2 linked regions of the Bombyx mori genome follow. The protein of the gene in region 2 purifies or fractionates together with the protein of the main gene of each other region. This does not show direct contact. Links are inferred from orthologs where the notes say so. Each region holds a gene or a part of one and is shown on either strand. Other genes may lie near its edges.

Evidence for each region.
Region 1: the proteins of activin receptor type-1 (region 2) and protein 60A purify together in Drosophila melanogaster (affinity purification with western blotting, with the first as the bait; 3 studies listed by BioGRID). This does not show direct contact. The link is inferred for Bombyx mori from reciprocal best matches to the Drosophila melanogaster genes sax and gbb.

The regions. Positions count from the first base shown.
Region 1 is NC_085110.1:8,226,297-8,230,658, reverse strand, and holds the start of protein 60A, read left to right. Parts: upstream 1-1,551; 5' UTR 1,552-2,125; coding exon 2,126-2,495; intron 2,496-4,362. Other genes in the region: protein CWC15 homolog, read left to right, coding at 1,197-1,334. UniProt on the Drosophila melanogaster protein: Required for the growth of imaginal tissues and for patterning of the adult wing.
Region 2 is NC_085126.1:11,570,987-11,574,553, reverse strand, and holds part of activin receptor type-1, read left to right. Parts: intron 1-574; coding exon 575-760; intron 761-1,291; coding exon 1,292-1,438; intron 1,439-2,491; coding exon 2,492-2,676; intron 2,677-3,567.

The DNA of each region.
Region 1 (4,362 bases), on a different chromosome or scaffold from region 2:
ATAAACTTGGGTCTCACTTAGATTATAATTATTCAGAGCTTTTGTTGTGTATTGGTATTTTAGATATCCTTGCCATATGATAATAATATGATGTGTATTGAAACATGTGCAAATAATATTCAATCAGTATCTGTTTTGATATCTCATTGGTGAAGTATACTGACAACTACCAGATAACCCTTTTATACCAGGTTGGCCATAAGTTTGTTCACCTATCTATGCTATAAAAATAACTATTAAAACGTATTGTTGCTATTGTTTTCGGTTTACTTGTATTTGAATCAATATCATTGATACTCCACAGGGAATACTTTAATAATGCACAAAAAAATTATTTTTCCTTTCATTATGCATATGTAGCGGCAGATATTGAGGATTCAAGACTATTAAATAATTTCATTTAGACTTTGGTTGATTCATTATTTTACATTTTCGGTTCTATAAACACTGGTTGCTGTTTTGACACCACAGGGACTGTGATTTTGTACACCCACTAATAAATACCATACAAAAATGCAAAAGTAATTGAAAGTGATTTTAAGAACATTAACATAATCTGCTCAAGCATTGGATGAATCCGGTATTGGAACGCCCAGAGGCACCACTCAGCACAACTCGTCATTAGGCCTCTACATGATATCATTAGAGAGAGACTGACTGAGTTATGAGAGTCACAACCTTCATCTATGAGGGTCGATTAAGAAGAATTTAAGAAGTCGTCGTGGCCTAAAGGATAACTCATTCGGTGCATTCATGTTGAGCGATGCACCGGTGTTCGAATCCCAGGCGGGTACCAATTTTTCTAATGAAATACGTACTCAATAAATATTCTCGATTGACTTCCACGGTGAAGGAATAACATCGTGTAATAAAAATCAAACCTGCAAATTTTAATTTGCGTAACGACTTGTGGTAGGATCTCTTGTGAGTACGCGCGGGTAGGTACCATCCCCTAGCCTATTTCTGCCGTGAAGCAGTAATGCATTCCGGTTTGAAGGGCGGGGCAGCCGTTGTAACTATACTTGAGACCTGAGAACTTATATCTCAAGGTGGGTGGCGCATTTACGTCGTAGATGTCTATGGGCTGCAATAACAACTTAACACCAGGTGGGCTGTGAGCTCGTACACCCATTTATGCAAATAAAAAAAAAGGACAATCGTAATATTATATCTATATTTTTTTTGGGTTGTTCCAGGTAAAAAGAAGATGGGATGATGACGTTGTTTTCAAAAATTGCGCTCGTTCTGAACCGGAAAAGAAACCTAATACTTTTATAAATGACTCATTAAGATCAGAGTTCCATAAGAAATTTATGGAAAAGTACGTGAAATAGTAAATCATTATTGATATTGTAATTCTAAATTTAAAGTTGTTAAAAGCGATTCTATACCTTATTGTAAGCGGAATAGTGATAACGAAGTGGAAATGCTACTATGGATATTACAAACACGTAAAGAAAAGATTGACGAAAACCAATATAATTTTAGTAAATATTATGAAAAAAATGTCATTTTGTTGTTTTGAATAAATTATATGAAAACAAATAGTATTTTATAAAGTTTATTTTCAAGTTAATGTCACGTTACTGATAAAAAGTAATGTTTGTTTCCTCAACAACAGATAGAGGTCAGTTCATTAGCATAATGTGTCTAATTTACTCATATAACAACGAACATTGCTTTCGGGTTCGAAATTTGAGACTCAACTTCTGAGTTTCAGTGGTAAAAATCTTGGTAGTTGGGGTATCCAAACTAAATTAGGGAAGGTATTAAAGAGATTAATTTACAAAAAATTCAAACTTACTGCCCCGATTTGATAATCAATACGCCACCCGTTAAAGTACATAACTGCATTGTTAATGGTAGTAATAAATAATTATTAAATTAACTTATTAACATTCGGAGTTCGGACTGACCAGACTGACGTGTCCGGCGAAGTTGAATGTTTTTATTATTGCGGCGTTGTGAGTGAGGCGTGAGAGGGGAGGCAGTGGTAAGTGCGGAGCAGGCGGCGGCGGCCTACCTTGAGTGGGCAGGTCCACAGCTAGATCCCGCGGCTGGCCATGACGCGTCTCACATCTCGTTAACTCGCCACTAGCCAGTCGCAGACGCTCTCACAACGAATATGGCTGGTTTTGTGCAGTTGGTGTGTGCGTGTTTTGCATTGTTTACTGTGGTCACCGATGCCATACTTTCCGGACTTTACATTGACAATGGTGTTGATCAGACGATAATTCATCATACGATTACACGACACGAGCGCATGGTAGTAGAACATGAAATTTTAGATCTTTTAGGCTTAGGAGAAAGACCCAGAAGATCTAAATCTCCACCTTTGGATCGTTCGGCTCCAAGTTTCCTGTTGGACGTTTATAAGCAACTGGCTGAGGAGCACGAACAGGCACGCCCTACACGTAGTTCTGACATGGCTCTCAGCGGTGATGAGCAGCAAGCTATTGATGAAAGTGATTTAATTATGACTTTTCAAAGCAAAAGTAAGTTATTTTTTGTTTTCATTGCTATTTTATGTTAATTAAAATTTGTTTTCACCATATTACAATAACGAAAACAATATACGTAGGTATGTGAACATAATACTATGCAATGGTTTATTTACCTTTTTTTTTATTTACTTGCCATGCCGAGCCGCCCTAGCAGTACTTACTTCGAATGGCATAGTTCGTAAAATTATTAGAAACCCACGTTAAGTATCAGCAATAAAACTATATTACTGAATCTTAACAAATTTCCAGATATTATAATCATATTGTTATTTTATCTAGTGCATATATTAATGCCACATAAATGTACTCGTAAAAAAATAATTAAAGATCGTGTATTTCTAAGAACAGTTCCCCTGTTTATAGCATGGATCATACAGAATAACTAATTATTACCGTTTAAAAAAATTCAAAACCAGGTCTAAAAACGGCGCGAGTTTTCTTTAATGTTCCGTAAATTATTATTATTGTATTGTAATCTCGCATCAACGTGGTGGTCGAGACCAGTGACTCAATGTCTTACTACCTGGCTACATACCTCATGGAATTCGAACTATGTAAATGTGATTTTTAGGGTTCGGTAGGGGAAAAATGGCAAATGACTGAACCTTTATAATTTCGTTCGATCTTTTTTACTAGATATCTGTTGGACGTATAAAGATTAAATTTGAAAGATATTTACCTTATAAATTTAAAGTCATTTCAATATATTTATATTTTAATATATTCATGTTTATTATATTCCGGACGGCCACCGCTCAGGTTTCGGCCACCACGTGTGATTTTTAGACTTCTTACTCTCGTTGAAACGTGGTGGCTCGAGTATTGCCGCAGTGGCTGTCGCGGAACGGATGCTGGGATTGGTTCGAGGAAATAACGAAGGCTTCAGTATGGCGTTCACACGGTCCTCGTGGCTTGACCGGCGCAGGGCGTAGGAGCGAGTCTTTTCTTGCTTCTTGGGTTGGCGCTCTCCTCTTCTTCTGGAGAGGTCTTGACTCGTCGGCTCGCTGTCTCGAACTGAATTTGCAGCGAGGTAGGCCCCTTATTTATGGTCGCCCACACGCACTCGGCCAGCGCTATTATGAGTCCGAGCACGGTGGGCGTCTATTGTTCTCTCGGCCGCCTCGCTCGCCTATTGTTTGCCTAGTCGCTCTATTAGTTGCCCGTTTTGTGACTCGCTCCTGCGTTCCCACGCCAAATTAAAGACCACGAGGACCAATCTTTATTTACAAAATAACATTTACAAATTAACTTATTTCTATTTACATTTGTATGCTAACTATTTTTAACATACTGTCTATCTCTATTTCTATTAAATCTAGCTGTACTTGCGAACATATTCCTATTCTAGCGTATCTATTTACGGACATTTCTGTTTTAACGTATTATCTATTTATTCTCTATTTATTTATCGCGGACATTTTCTATTATTTTACAACTGTCTATGTGCATCGCGAACAATATCTATTTAACTATTTTCAATCATTTATGTCCGTTCGGGAATATCTTATTCTAACTATGTTTCTTTATGTCCGTCGCGAACATCCTCCCGCCGTGCAGCGTCGTTCACGTCGCTGCATCCTCCTTGGTGAGCGGCGGTCATCGTGGGCAGCACGATGATCTTCTTTGCCGGGCGTCGCAATATACCGCCGGCGGTGCGTACGTCGACCACTCGAGTGATGCCGTCGGCCCCCGGGTAAACCTCCTGGATGATCCCACGTGGCCAGGTGTTCCGTGGGAGCGTTCCGTCTGCTATTATCACGACGTCGCCTATCTTCAGGGCGGGCCCGCGGCTGTGGGGCTCCCGCCGGTTCTGCAGGTCGGGCAGGTACTCCCGGAGCCAGCGACTCCAGAACACATC
Region 2 (3,567 bases):
TACGGCCCACCTGATGGTGAGTGGTTACTATCGCTCATGGACGTCAGAAATACCAGGGGCAGAGCCAAGACGCTGTCTACCGTAAAGTTTTAAAAAAAAAAAATTATTGGTTAGATGGGTGGACGAGCTGACAGCCCACCTGGTGTTAAGTGGTTACTGGAGCCCATAGACATCTACAACTTAAATGCGCCACCCACCTTGAGATATAAGTTCTAAGGTCTCAAGTATAGTTACAACGGCTGCCCCACCCTTCAAACCGAAACGCATTAACTGCTTCACAGCAGAAATAGGCAGAGTGGTGGTGCCTACCAGCGCGGACTCATTAGAGGTCCTACCACCAGTAATTACGCAAATTAAAATTTGCGGGTTTGATTTTTATTACATGATGTTATTCCTTCACCGTGGAAGTCAATCGTGAACATTTATTGAGTACGTATTTCATTAGAAAAATTGGTACCCGCCTGCGGGATTCGAACACCGGTGCATCGCTACATACGAATGCACCGGACGTCTTATCCTTTAGGCCACGACGACTTCAAAATATAATAACATAATAACCGTGTCTCGTCCCCAGGGCCGCTACGGCGAGGTGTGGCGCGGCTCGTGGTACGGGGACAGCGTGGCGGTCAAGATCTTCTTCTCGCGAGACGAGGCCAGCTGGAAGCGCGAGACCGAGGTGTACAGCACCGTGCTGCTGCGCCACCAGAACATCCTGGCCTACGTGGGCAGCGACATGACCAGCCGCGGCAGCTGCACGCAGGTCCGCACCAGGCTCACGTCGTGGAGACTAAACATTACCCATTTAACATGAACCTTCATTGATATTCCAATGAATATTCTTTGGTCCTATTAGAGGCTCTAAGAATTCTACACAACGCGAAGTCAACTCCAGTTAAGGACTTAGTTAAATGTGTTTTTTTTGTATTGCTTAAATGGGTGGATGAGCTCACCGTCAACTTGATGTTTAGTGGTTATTGTTAAGGAAATCTTCAAACGCTTCACAGTAGAAATATGCAAGATGATAGTAGCTATCCTTACGGACTCACAAGGCGCTCTCCCAGCAGTGTTTCCATAGCATCTAAAATAATAATGACATCCAGCCCCCTTTGCTGCCAGATCTTTAATTTAGTCCTGATACAATCGCTTTCAAACTATTCCCTACTAATGTCATCAATATTGATCAATCCATCTCGTAGTCTACAGAAAGCGCGCCTGCTTCCACACACCTCCAGACTTTGAATATGTCATGGTCCGGTGACGTCAGAACCCTCACCCCCGCTTGTGGTTCCAGCTGTGGCTGATCACGCAGTACCACCCGCTGGGCTCGCTGCACGAGCACCTGCAGCGCGGCACGCTCTCCCGCCAGCAGCTCGCCGCGCTCAGCCTGTCCGCCGCCAGCGGCCTGCTGCACCTGCACACGCAGATACACGGCACCCAGGTGACCCTCACTTATTACAATACGAACAAGACTCCAATTTCAAAAGTCGACTAAGACATCTGTTGGACTGCAGTATATATGTACCTACCTATGCTGATAGCTTTGAGAGGCTATTTCAGCTTCGCCCTAACGTGTGTAGGTGAGCTCACGGGGCTCAAACCGGAGTGTTGCTAACACGAACTCTAGCAAGAGCAGTGCTTCGCAGAATCTACCACCGGATCGGAAACGCGACCCACTGAAAAGATCCGGCGAGAAACTCGGTGGGCTGTGTCTGTGGGTTAATTCGCTCGTCGAGCCCTTCGTCGCTAGCGACGGGTTCGACGAGGACGGTGACCGGGCCACACGACAACAAACAACATCACTAGTTTGTATGGAGTTGGAACAGCGCCCCTAGCGGCAAACGAACGGAAGCTGTTCCAACTGCATACAAACTTGTGTTAATTTTACGCTATCGAGAACGCTAAAAAACTCGCATTAAGTTTGTAGTAATGCTGCTAACAGCTTGAAATTGTTGGTGAAAGTTAGTTTGATGTAGTTCCAATACAATTGACAAAGCCACTTATTAACTGAAATTGATTTCTGCATTAAAAAAAAAGTTAATTATTGATTTAATCATTAAATCAATGATCATCTCACTCAATGTGTTGATATATTATAATATGTAGTAATTAACCAAAATTCATATTCACATTAACCAATTCTCTTATTAGTAACACAAGCCTTGAGAATGGGGAATAGAATACAATAAGACTGGGAGTTTTTTCACGGGAAACCTCAGCAATGATATTATCCAAAGAGAACAAAATTTATTGACATAGTGTGCTTGAATAGAGAACAACCAAGCATAATTTATTACACTGCAAATGGCTGGTCTAATCTGAATGGAATTTATGAAGATCCTGATGATGATGATAAAAAGCGGCAGCAGGCAACGGCTAGGTCTGCCCCTAGCATTGCTGAAGTCCATGGGCGACGGTAACCACTCACCATTGGGTGGGCTGAATGCTCGTCTGTTTACAAGGGCAATAAAAAAAATAAAAAAAATATTTCCAGGGTAAACCTGCGATAGCACACCGGGACATCAAGTCCAAGAACATCCTGGTCAAGGTGAATGGGGAGTGTTGCATCGGAGACCTCGGGCTCGCCCTCACCGCGCAGCACATCGAGCAGGGCCAGCAGCTGCACAACCCTCGCCAGGGGACCAAGAGGTATATGAGCCCCGAGATGCTGGACCACACGTGAGTACTCCGGTACACTTTTTTGTAGCTATACAGTAGTGTAGGCTCAGGCCACATGGGCCTCTGTTGTACCTTTTTATTTATTTATTGCATAGGTGTGTGGACGAGCTCATAGCCCATCTGATGTTAAGTGGTTACCCGAGCCTATAAACATTTACAACGTAAATGCCGTCACCTACCTTGATATAATAGTTCTAGATAATAGTTCTAAGGTCTCAGTTTGTACAGTACCTGTTTCTGTCCAATCCAAGAATCACTTCTCCGAGCTTAGAATTTGATCTCATGTCTCAAGGAGAATGACATTCTCGTCGTGGTACATGTTTATGGGCTTTAACTACAAAGCTATATCGGGTTAATATAGCCCATCTGAATCCAAACTAAAACATGTTCCGTGAACAGTACTTGTCTAGACAAATCTAGGGAGCCTGAATCCTATAATTACTTAATAGACCATCAACAACGATCACCAGACGGAGGTATCTACCTAATTATTAAACCATGAATCCAAACTAAAGACTCAACTATTAAAAACATGTTCCATGAACAGTACTTGTTAAGACAAATCTAGGCAGCCTGAATTCTATAATTACTTTTAGACCATCAACAATGATTACCAGTCTGGAGGTGTCTTGATCAAATTGATCAAATGAAAATGTATTTCACAAAATAATGTAATAACCAAAATGGTTTTTTTTACGTCAAACTGAACATTAACTATGGCGTCATACGTGGCTGATCTATTTGTTAACATTAAAATAAGGACAGTAATTCGACAGCAATTTTTATTCTCAAAATTTAAAAACAGTTGAACTATAGTAGAATTATTTTGTCCGTGCAGTTTGGGTTATAGATAATCGGAGCAGTGAAGCGAGTATTTCGCTCTCTCTTCCA